3 linked regions of the Lepisosteus oculatus genome follow. The protein of the gene in region 3 purifies or fractionates together with the protein of the main gene of each other region. This does not show direct contact. Links are inferred from orthologs where the notes say so. Each region holds a gene or a part of one and is shown on either strand. Other genes may lie near its edges.

Region 1 (3,746 bases), on a different chromosome or scaffold from region 3:
CCAGGACAACCTTACACACACACACACACACACACACACACAGCAACACTGCCTCCACTCGCAAAAGCCAGCTTAGTCACAGGCACTCAAAACCACCTTGTTAACCCAGGGGATTGACTACAACCCTGTGAGCCCCTCTCTGTCTGCAGCCTGGAGACCACAGAGCCCGGCGCACAAGACTACACACGTGGCCACACGGACCTGGCTCCTCTGGGTCAGGACCGGGCCTTACGTGGAGTAGGTGTTGGAGTCCTCGGAGGTGGTGCCGTCCACGTTCAGGGCGATCTGCTCCCCTTTGCTGCGGCAGTAGTTGGGGCTGAGCGTGTCCATCGCCATCACCAGCTCCACCTGCGCAGGTGAGACACGGCCGTGACCGTCACCGACGACACAAACGACTCCCCGGTGCATCTCCCCGGGACTACCCGTCTGGCAACGGCTAGCTGCTACAAAACCAGTCTGACCACAGCTCACAGCCTTTATTCAGGAACCAGCCATTTAACAAGCTCAGATTCCTTCTTACCTTCTGCTGTTTGGGCTTGATTTTTGCAGATAAATGAGCAACGTCATCGTAGGTCATTGTAGCAGGGCGCACTGGATACTGATGGAAAATAAACGCAACAGTCAGGAAATGGATCACCTGCGGCCCACTCGCCTCTGCTGAATCAGCATGGCTGTCCCCCGAGCTCTGCGAACTAACACACAGAGAAAGCCCCTCCCTAGGCTTCAGCCTACTCACCCCTGCACGGCCAAGCCTGGAAACTCACAGCAGCTCCACTAGAGACACTGAAGCTAACTGAAAACCTCAACCAGTTAGACTTCCACAGCCCATGACACAACATTCTTAACTTGAAAACATCTGACAAGAAACACTGACTACTTGGTGAGTGTTCTGCAAACTAGGTCAAGTTAAAACAACGTTTACACGAGTGTGTCTAGTCTGTTAATCGAATGTAAGTGCTCATAACAGGCCGAGTTACTGCAGCTGGTTCGTTCCCATGGTCTTGCTTACCTGGAATAAGTAGAGCTTGTCAGCAAGGCTTTTGGCCAGATAAACATCAATCTGAGGAAACAAACAGGGCAGACTGGGCTGAAACCAGCAGGCACAGAGTAGACTCTGATCTTCAGTCACACAGCACAGGAACAATCACATCATGCACGCGTCACAAAACACTACACTTCTGATCTGTGTCCGGCATCCCTTCAAATCCTTATACCCGTCGTGATTTTCTTAATTTCAAAGCTTCGACTTGCACAGCACTTTAACTGGAAACTTCACCAGCTCTTGGGAGTATTAAAAGTGTGTGAAATTCTGGAAGGCACTGACAAAGCCGCCCCAGAGGACTACATCAGGGCCCGCAGCGATACAAGATCAACACAGGCACGAGTGGAAACAGAGGGGGTACCACAGGGCTCTTCTTCATGTGCTGTGGGGCCCTGGAAGAACGTTCCCAGTCATGCTGTTGAGCAGATTCCCTGGGATCATTCAGGGAAGTGAGGAAGAGGATCCTTGGAGAAATAAGCTACTAGCTCCAGCTGTTAGGAACACAAAAAGACTAGCAATGCACTAGCCAAGATGGGCTCTAGTCAGCAGCTCTCCTCTTGTTCTTATACCTAAAACTGCGTCACTCCGTCATCGCTGTGTCCAGGCTTGGGAGGGTTTCGCCCTGAGTCTGCGCTCGGTTACATTACACCCCAAACCTACAGGTGGAGACAGCTCCCTAATCCCACTGCATGGCTGGCCGGTGAGCTGTGGGGCGCCTACCTCTTGTACGATGGGGTCGTCATCCTCACTGGCCATGGCGAGGGCTGGGACTGGCAGCTGTGCTCTGGAGGGGTGGAGGGGCTGGCTCAGTGCCCACACCTGGGGAAGAGAGAGAGCCCGTCACTGCAGCACACAAACCACTGTCCCCCTGCACTGGAAGACAGCCTGCCGCCTGCGCCCGCAGTGAGACAGCCGAGGCAGGTGTTGTCTCACTGAGCACACCTTAGATTCTGGAACACACCTTGCTTTAGAACCGGGTTTGCTGGACAGGTCACATTCAGCACCCGGTCTTTTGCAAGACTGTTAATGCACATAATACCCACAACGCTGAGGTATCGCCCTCAACTTGAGACCCGCACACACCCGTTCACGAACGATTTTAGGGTGCCAAGCCAGATTCGCCAAGTCACAACACTCTGGACCACAGACAGCGCATGCCCAGTCGCGTCCTCCGACTCTGGGCTCTTAAACAAACATGATGCAACGGGTCGCAATTCACACCCAGACCGCTATCACAGCTAGCGAGCCCCGTACACAACAACACGCTCGGTGGCGAGTGATCCGTCTCCCCTGCCGTCCGTGTCACGTTCAGGCGTTTGTGAGACAGAAAGTTATCTCGGCCGCTCCAATATTTCGACAGCCGGGTCATTCAAGTTTCGTTACAGCCCGTGAGATGGCGCAGCGGGGGCAACGAGTTTCGCTCACAAGACCGAAACGTCTCCTCCCGAACGCCTCTTCTGTCGTGCCGCGGAAGAGATGAAACGCCTTTTATTATTTTTAAAAGGCCCACGATGGACAAAAAGTGCCACGGTTCTTCCCGTCCGTCGTTCGAACAGACCGGACCGTCCGGAGCTGGCCGCCTCACCTGCACGGACACAGACAGTCCCCCGGCGAGTGGTCTCCCTTCAGGCAGGCAGCTCACGGCGGGTGGCCCCTGTACCCCAGCCCGGTGTGTTTCCTCTGCGGCGGCTGCGAGTTCAGGCGGCTGCCATGTTGCAGCTTCCCAGACACGTGGGGAGGAGCTCAGGGTCCCTTCCCACAATGCCGTGAGACAGCGGCGGGGGGGGCACTGTCGTGCTCCGGACAGCAGAGGGCGCTCTCGCTGGCTCACATGCCGTCTGGAGCCAGCAGGAGGCGCTGCAGGCAGTAGCCGCGGAAAGCGCTTGGGCGGGCGCAGCGCAGGCAGGCGTAACAAAAAAAGCCTGTGCCTGGCAGCGGTGGGATTCGAACCCACGCCCCCGAAGAGACTGGAGCCTTAATCCAGCGCCTTAGACCGCTCGGCCACGCTACCTCTGCGGGCTCACCCCTCGGTATCGCAGTGAAGTCACAACCCTCTGCTCTGCTGCTCTGCAATTACAAAAATACTTTTTTTTTGTAAAGATGTGATGTTATAGCATTTCTACACCGTGGAAATGGGAGACGTGTTTCAATCGCTGTTGTTACATATGCGCTTGCAGGAAAAACGCAAGGATCTGCTTTCATAGCCGACTGTACACTGTATTTACGTTTTAATACGTACTGAAGGGGCAATTAGTTTTAGGAACGTAATTAGCTTGATGCGTTCAGTTTTCTTTAAAAAAAAGGATGATTACGCCGTAGAAGCGATGTCAGTTACGAAAAATGTGCCGGCTTTTCTTAAAATAAAATTAATCCGGTATTTATTTTACAATTATATGAAATAATTTTCACTGTGCATTTCATTGTTTAAAGAACATTTTTTTTTTTGCTGAATTCTGAATATGAGACTTTGCACCGCAGAGCGCCGCTGTTGTATTCATTTGATAACTTTGCATTAAATTAGTTTCTTTGTAAAATAAATTATGGTATTTCTGTTAAAGGGAAGTGTCAATCTAAGATATCACATTCAGTAACCGCAGAAAACTGTGTGGGCGGGGTACAGGCAGCCCCGCCCACTCAGAATAAGAGCTTCAGAACAAGTTTCCGTTTCCTGTTTAGAACTCTGACCAGACCCACAGTATACTCA
Region 2 (3,746 bases), on a different chromosome or scaffold from region 3:
AGACAGACAGACAGACAGACAGGGGGGCCGGTCAGCCCAGCCAGCCCCCAGCCCCACACAGACAGACAGACAGACAGACAGGGGGGCCGGTCAGCCCAGCCTGCCCCCCCCCCCAGCCCCAGGCGCAGGGCTACCTGTCAGGGTGATGTGGGGCAGGGTGTACCTCTCCTTGTCGCCATCAGCCAGGGTGGGGGCCGGGCAGGCCGCGCTGTCGCCGCTGCGCTCTGCCACTGGGGGGCAGCGCTGCAGGAAGTGCGTCTCCACCAGGCGAGAGAAGACGCTGGTCACCTCGCTGTACTCCATGCTCTTTCCCTCTGTAACCACACAGCCGCACAGAGGGTCAGGGACACCCCCACATTCGCAGCCACCCCAACTTACAGCATCGACCGAACAACTATTGGGAGCTCAGGGTGCTGACAGACAGACAGGCAGACTCTTTGACCCTCGAAGTGCTGGCAGACAGGCAGACAGGCAGACAGGCAGACAGGCAGACAGGCAGACAGGCAGACAGGCAGACAGGCAGACAGGCTCTTTGACGCTCGGGGTGCTGACAGACAGGCAGGCAGACAGGCTCTTTGACGCTCGGGGTGCTGACAGACAGGCAGGCAGACAGGCTCTTTGACGCTCGGGGTGCTGACAGACAGGCAGGCAGACAGGCTCTTTGTCGCTCGGGGTGCTGACAGACAGACAGGCAGGCAGACTCTTTGTCACTCGGGGTGCTGACAGACAGACAGGCAGGCAGACTCTTTGACCCTCGAGGTGCTGACAGACAGACAGGCCCTCCTCTCACCCTCCATGCTGTCGGTCAGCCGGTCAGCCACTGTCCGCACGGCCTGGCTCATGGTCATGTGGCCGTGCTGCAGCAGCTCCTCCACCAGCAGCTCCGCTGCGTCGCCATACAGCGTCTTGGCCGTGTAGATGTAGCGAGGGAAGCGCAGCAGGCCCAACACGCGCGGCTCCGGCAGCCTGTACTCCACCCCCCGCCGGCCCGGCCCGAACTCACACAGGCCCTGCTGCAGCAGCACACACAGGCACTTCTTCACCTGGGGGGGAGAGGAACACACTAGCCCCATGTCGGACCAAGACAAGACCACTGGACACAGGCAGACCTGGCTGTCCAGAGAGGACAGGCTCAGTGACCACAGCCTGGACACAGACACTGGACACAGGCAGACCTGGCTGTCCAGAGAGGACAGGCTCACTGACCACAGCCTGGACAGAGACACTGGACACAGGCAGACCTGGCTGTCCAGAGAGGACAGGCTCAGTGACCACAGCCTGGACACAGACACTGGACACAGGCAGACCTGGCTGTCCAGAGAGGACAGGCTCACTGACCACAGCCTGGACAGAGACACTGGACACAGGCAGACCTGGCTGTCCAGAGAGGACAGGCTCAGTGACCACAGCCTGGACAGAGACACTGGACACAGGCAGACCTGGCTGTCCAGAGAGGACAGGCTCAGTGACCACAGCCTGGACACAGGCAGACCTGGCTGTCCAGGGAAGACAGGCTGTGCTCCCACTGCCAGCGGGGAGAAATAGAGACAGAGGTGCACTTCCTACTGCACTGTGACAGATACTCTGGGATTAGAGAAACATTCTTCCAGAAATACAGAAATCTAGTCCCACAGTTCCCACACCTGCCAGAATCACAACGGGTCCCAATCCTACTGGGAGAGGGAGGAGGGAACTCAGTTGAACTGGCAGCCCAGTATGTGATCTGCTCAATATGTTTACAGTATATGTACATATTTTATAATTTCTTTGTAGATTTTATTTTTTGTTTTGTTCCATGTTAATTTTATTTTTATTTGCTTTGGCAAAACTGATTGTACCCATCGGTCACGTTAATAAAGCACCTTGAATTGAATTGAGAGGAGAGAGGGGAGAGGAGGGAGAGAGAGGATGGGAGAGGGTAAAGGGGTTGAGCGGGAGGAGTGGACCAGAGAAGTCAGGACACACCATGAGACTCAGGGGCAGGTAAAGGGTCAGAGAGCGCGTTACCAGGTGCAGGGGGGTCCCGGTCCCCGTGGCGATGGCCCTCAGGGTCTGCTCACCCCCCTTCAGCAGGAACGTCCCCACTTTCTCCACCACCTCGCCGAAGTGCTCTTGCAGCAGCAGCGCGCACAGCCGCACCTCCTGCGCCGTCATCTGCACAGAAACACGTCCCAGCCGGGACAGACCTGCAACCGCTGGCGCCTACAGATGTAAAGCGCTGATTCCAGAATCCCACTCCTCAAGACTCACCCTGCTGCTTTACAAAGAAGGGGTTCTTTCCAAAACCACTTAAGCACAATGACTTTTATTTAACCGGCATTTGCCCAGCATATAACTCTTTCTGCCTTGTTTATATCGTTCCCATTTCCCTCGACAAGACACGTGTGCGCCATCTACTTCCGCTATTGCCTTGCCCCGCACAAAGATGGCGAATCTAGTCCCTCCCTTCCCACACACTTCCGGCCTTTACCCTTCGGCTTTTTCCGGTTGTGATCGGTCTTCTCGGGGGATGAAATCTCGGTCTAGTCCCGCAAGAGGCATTCAGGGCCGGTGGCGGACCGCCTCCTTCCGTGAGCTGGAGGACCGACGTCACTGTTTGTGCCATATTCCAGTGGAAGATGGCGGAGGCTGCGGCTGTTCCCCAACATCGTTTCTTCTGTCACTGCTGTAAGGGGGAGGTGAACCCCAAGCTGCCGGTGAGTAGTCCCGGTTCCCACCGACTTTGCTCTGATTGAGACAGGCCGGGCGGAGGCGCGCCTTTTGCGGTGAGCGGTGCGCACTCGAGCCCGGGGCTGTGCTTGACACTCCGAGTTTGTTTACAGGCCTTGTTTGGCTTTAGCTGGTGGGGGGCGGAAGGGGGGAGGGAATGTTTCGGATTTTATTTATTGATCCGCTCCCGCGGGTGTCGGTGTGCATCTCATATTTCGGGGGTTTGTTCGAGGGCAGGGGAAGAGACCCGCCGGGCTGTTGTCAGTCATCTTCGGGGGTCAGCGGCGAGCGGCGTCCGTCGCAGGGGTTGCGGGAGTCCGCAGCTGGGACTGAGCTGTCACGGCTCTCGGCTGGAGGACAGGGGTCATAGACAGCCCAGTCTGGGAGTGGGTTCGGACCTTGTCAGTCTGGGGAAACGCGTTCCGGTGCTGGAATCAGTCTGGGACCTGATGTGGAGACTTCAAGTACCGTCGAGACGACCTGCTGCTGTTTAGATAACAAAAGCCTGTCAGTGCGCGGTAACTATACAGGTAACTACAGCCGTCCTGTCGGTGCGCGGTATCTACAGTCAGGAAACCACAGTCGTCCTGTCAGTGTGCGGTATCTACAGTCAGGTAACTACAGCCGTCCTGTCAGTGCGCGGTAACTATACAGGTAACCACAGCCGTCCTGTCAGTGCGCGGTATCTACAGTCAGGAAACCACAGTCGTCCTGTCAGTGTGCGGTATCTACAGTCAGGTAACTACAGTCGTCCTGTCAGTGTGCGGTATCTACAGTCAGGAAACCACAGTCGTCCTGTCAGTGTGCGGTATCTACAGTCAGGAAACCACAGTCGTCCTGTCAGTGTGCGGTATCTACAGTCAGGAAACCACAGTCGTCCTGTCAGTGTGCGGTATCTACAGTCAGGTAACTACAGCCGTCCTGTCAGTGCGCGGTAACTATACAGGTAACCACAGCCGTCCTGTCAGTGCGCGGTATCTACAGTCAGGAAACCACAGTCGTCCTGTCAGTGCGCAGTAACTATACAGGTAACTACA
Region 3 (3,746 bases):
CGATCAAAGAATTGTTCAGAGAATTGTTGTAAAGCTCCAGTTGATATAACAAACTTCAGCCATTTCTGACACAAATTGTTACCATGGTAATGGGGGGAGGTCACCTGTGTTTGGACCTTGAGCACTTTGAATGGCCATTCTTGTCTTTCCTTTGGTCTTGTACCAAAAGAAGTCTGTGCAGAAGGAAATCAGTTAACCCTTTTTTCACATCTTATATCTTTCTACAAGTAGAAGCTGTTCTTAAGCCTAGTGGCCAGTTCTTTAAGGTTTTGGTTCATCCTGAGAGAGAGAGAGAGAGAAACAATGCACTGAAAAATAAAAATGACATATTGATTTTGTCACTGTATGGCTTGTTTAAGAAATGTGAAAAACGTGATTTAAAAATGTATTTGGTGAAGTTTTATTCTTTGTAACCTGAAAAAGTAGATTTCCATCCATCTGTTTTCTAAACCACTTTATCCAGCACAGGGTCACAGGAGAGCTGGAGCCTCACCAGGCCCAGTTTTTTTTTTACAGAAGCCAATTAACCTACTGTACCAGTAGTCTTTGGACTGTGGGGGGAAACCCACACAAACATGGGGCAACATACAACATCTGCACAGATACAGTAGCCCAGGTCCACAGTCGAAACCCGGGCTTTCACACTGCAGCAATGCTAACTACTGCACCACCACGCCACCCAAGTCCATTTCATCCACTCGAATTGCCAGTTAAGACCCACGGTGATTGAGCTCAAACATGAGATTGCTTTGTACACATGAGTTTTTTTAATTAAATGTTGTGAAGTAAATTTAAAATGCTATTTATTGTACTGACAAATAATCAAAACGTATGGGGCACGATTAAAGGTTACAAACGAGGGAGTGGTTTGGAAATTGTACAACACTCATACTTCTTTCTGACTTCTCGAATTGTTTTCGAATATACAAGAAAAATAACGCGGCTTATAAAGTGATAAGTGTTTAAATTTCAATTTCTGAATTCTGTAGGAAAAGTGAAGGGTGCAGAGGTTAAATTAATTTTCGTTTATTTTCGGAACATATCAGAACGGAATGTGGGAGCAGAACCACGGTCCACCTCTTTGTTTCCACACGTTGCCATTTATTTGGGACATCGCATGCACGTGTGGGTTTGTTCTTCCGCTTGCCGATGTCGCCGGATTGGAAATGTGATTCTTGTTTCATGAAGTCTGGCTGTTTGTTTTGAGTGTGAGAAAATTATGGATGCCCTCATTGATGAGTATGGGGGCATGACTCCCCAAGAACTCGCAGCCCCCGTTAATACCATAGAGGTAGGGAATAAGTATCGCAGCAGTTGAAATATAAGTGATGCATATTAGTAATTACTGTGTTGCAATGTGCATACAATTTGCTTAAACCATGTATTCGTCTGTAAAGAAAACTGTGTTAGCGTAACAAGGAAGCAAACGTCAGGGAAAATGTTTTGATTATAGATTGTTTTTTAATAATCTGGTGCCTCCTTTGTAAGGGCTAGAGGTTTTTAAAATGTATTAAGTGGGTGATTTGTATGAAAATGCAAGCCATTCAGAATTTGATCGTGTGAACTAAGCTGATCAAGAATATAGTGTTGTTTGGAAAAAAACGTTCATTCGGTTGTAATGCTGTGCATTGGAACTTGTTTAACTCCTTCTGTTACATTGTACAGTATAGGCAGTTCAGGTACAATCTTGTTTGTAGTCAACGTTCAGACGCTTTACACTGCAGTGTATGATTAAATTATACTGTTACTGTTCTCAAAAGATTACATGTCGAATTTTGTCTTTCTCTGTCTTCTGATAATCTCTTTATAAAAGGGGCAAATCTGCTATATACAATATGCAAGACGCAGTAGGTCATTGTGTGCTGTCATTTTACTTTCTAATGCTGTGATCTAGTGGGACAGCTTTAATATTTTGTACTTTCCCTTTTAGGAGAAATGGAAGTTACTACCGGCCTTTCTAAAGGTATTGTGAATTCTCTATTGGCAACTTGTGTTACTGATGAAAAAATTAAACAGGTGTAGTTGTACCGCGGGACACCAAATCTACCAACCAGGCCAATATAATATTTATTGCTATTAACTTTTTAATAGCAACAATTCTGACTCTTTTTTTTGGACCCATTTGGACACATTTTTGGAATCTGACATTCTGGACATTAACCCCAGCTGCAAGAGCTGAGGTGCACTGTTGTTGAGACAGAATGTTAAAGAGCTGCTCGTTTGAAGCTGGCTAAGTGGTCTGTTTGAGAAATGGAGGTGGGAGGTCAGGACTTCTGGTATCCAAGACCTTCTTATTAGTATGGTGTGTAAGAGTAAGGGTATACATTTCCTTCAGTCACCCTCATATATACTAAACTCCACTGCTTTCCTAGTGTATGAAGTCTTGTTGCCAGTTCACATGATGTTATACAGCAAAGGCTGCTAACTCGTATGTCGACTTTCAGAAGGCATCAGCACCAGGGTGACAGTATGTGATCCTTTTGAAATGTGCCTGTTGTGCCTTATTTTCCAGTTCTGTTGTTCCATTGTCGACTAAGAATTCTAAATATCCTCCCCTGTGTATCTTAATTTTCTTTCTCTTCTTTTTTTAGGTGAAAGGACTGGTGAAACAGCATATTGACTCATTCAATTATTTTATTAATGTAGAGGTAAGACATTGCATGCATACATGCTCTTATGCCCTGTTTTTTGTTTTTGTTTTTGTTTTGTGGCACTTGTGTTTGAGATTAACTTGGCGATTGCTGTTTCCAGATAAAGAAAATCATGAAAGCCAATGAAAAGATTACAAGTGATGCTGATCCCATGTGGTATTTGAAGTGAGTATGTGTATTTACACTCTGCTGGGCAAACAAATATCAGTGGAGAATAGATACTGAGCATGTGTTAATGTCACCCAATGTGTTGTGAGTCCTCGTTCAGTTGGTCAGTTGGGAACTGAACAGTCTTTAACACAAGTGAAGCTACTTTACCATAGTTTGTTCAATTATAAGAGGCGGAGCGGTGGCTCTGTGGCTCAGGATCTGCGCCTGTGACTGGAAGGTTGCCGGTTCGTATCCCGCGGCCAGCAGAGGAATCCTACTGCATTGGGCCCCTGAGCAAGGCCCTTAACCTCAACTGTTCCAGGGGTGCCGTATAAATGGCTGACCCTGCGCTCTGACCCCCACCTTCTCTCTTCCTGTCTGTGTGCTTTTGTGTCTCTTGGAGAGCAAGCTGGGGTATGCAAAAAGACAAATTCCTAATACAAGAAATTGTATATGGCCAGTAAAGTGATCTTAAACTATGAACTGTAATACAGATCAACTGTTCTGCATTTTTATAAGATAAACTACGTCTTAGGCCAAAATGCTATATATTTAGGAAGACATTCTGACATTAGGAGACATTCTGTCTCGATGTCCATGGAAATATCTAAGATGTTCAGGATTTCATCCTTCACCTTTCTGCTCATGACTTCCAGTCTATCTGGCTATCTGATTTCAACACTGGGCTTGTTCTGTCCTTGGTTACAGCACAGTCTGATTTCAGCCCTCAGTCTGGTCTCGCAATTTGTTTTACTGGTCAGCTTGATGAAAAAAGTAATTTTCTTGTGTCTGGGTAAACAAAAATCACATGGGGTTCATTAGAAAACCTGTTTTATTTTCCTTAGTGGGTATCTGTCTTGCTATTTAGTGTCCAGGAATTTAACATGATGTTTGATGTTTGCTGTGTCAGAGATTTAGATGACAAGAGCGCATGTTCTGTTCCAG

The links. Proteins that work in one complex are often made in the same cells at the same time.
Region 1: the proteins of polr3b (region 3) and polr3e purify together in Homo sapiens (affinity purification with mass spectrometry; 8 studies listed by BioGRID and IntAct, counting the BioPlex papers as one, with this or other methods). This does not show direct contact. The link is inferred for Lepisosteus oculatus from reciprocal best matches to the Homo sapiens genes POLR3B and POLR3E.
Region 2: the proteins of polr3b (region 3) and polr3c fractionate together in Homo sapiens (co-fractionation; 4 studies listed by BioGRID and IntAct, with this or other methods). This does not show direct contact. The link is inferred for Lepisosteus oculatus from reciprocal best matches to the Homo sapiens genes POLR3B and POLR3C.

The regions. Positions count from the first base shown.
Region 1 is NC_090714.1:16,621,846-16,625,591, reverse strand, and holds the start of polr3e (DNA-directed RNA polymerase III subunit RPC5), read right to left. Parts: upstream 2,811-3,746; 5' UTR 2,628-2,810; intron 1,862-2,627; 5' UTR 1,799-1,861; coding exon 1,763-1,798; intron 1,063-1,762; exon of another isoform or gene 1,061-1,062; coding exon 1,010-1,060; intron 599-1,009; coding exon 521-598; intron 349-520; coding exon 233-348; intron 1-232. UniProt on the Homo sapiens protein: DNA-dependent RNA polymerase catalyzes the transcription of DNA into RNA using the four ribonucleoside triphosphates as substrates.
Region 2 is NC_090722.1:7,226,174-7,229,919, forward strand, and holds the start of polr3c (DNA-directed RNA polymerase III subunit RPC3), read right to left. Parts: upstream 2,606-3,746; coding exon 2,471-2,605; intron 2,203-2,470; coding exon 2,008-2,202; intron 1,044-2,007; coding exon 791-1,043; intron 315-790; coding exon 135-314; intron 1-134. Other genes in the region: rnf115a (E3 ubiquitin-protein ligase RNF115), read left to right, coding at 2,619-2,696. UniProt on the Homo sapiens protein: DNA-dependent RNA polymerase catalyzes the transcription of DNA into RNA using the four ribonucleoside triphosphates as substrates.
Region 3 is NC_090702.1:53,629,067-53,632,812, reverse strand, and holds the start of polr3b (DNA-directed RNA polymerase III subunit RPC2), read left to right. Parts: upstream 1-1,118; 5' UTR 1,119-1,219; coding exon 1,220-1,291; intron 1,292-1,930; coding exon 1,931-1,963; intron 1,964-2,591; coding exon 2,592-2,648; intron 2,649-2,751; coding exon 2,752-2,816; intron 2,817-3,746. UniProt on the Homo sapiens protein: Catalytic core component of RNA polymerase III (Pol III), a DNA-dependent RNA polymerase which synthesizes small non-coding RNAs using the four ribonucleoside triphosphates as substrates.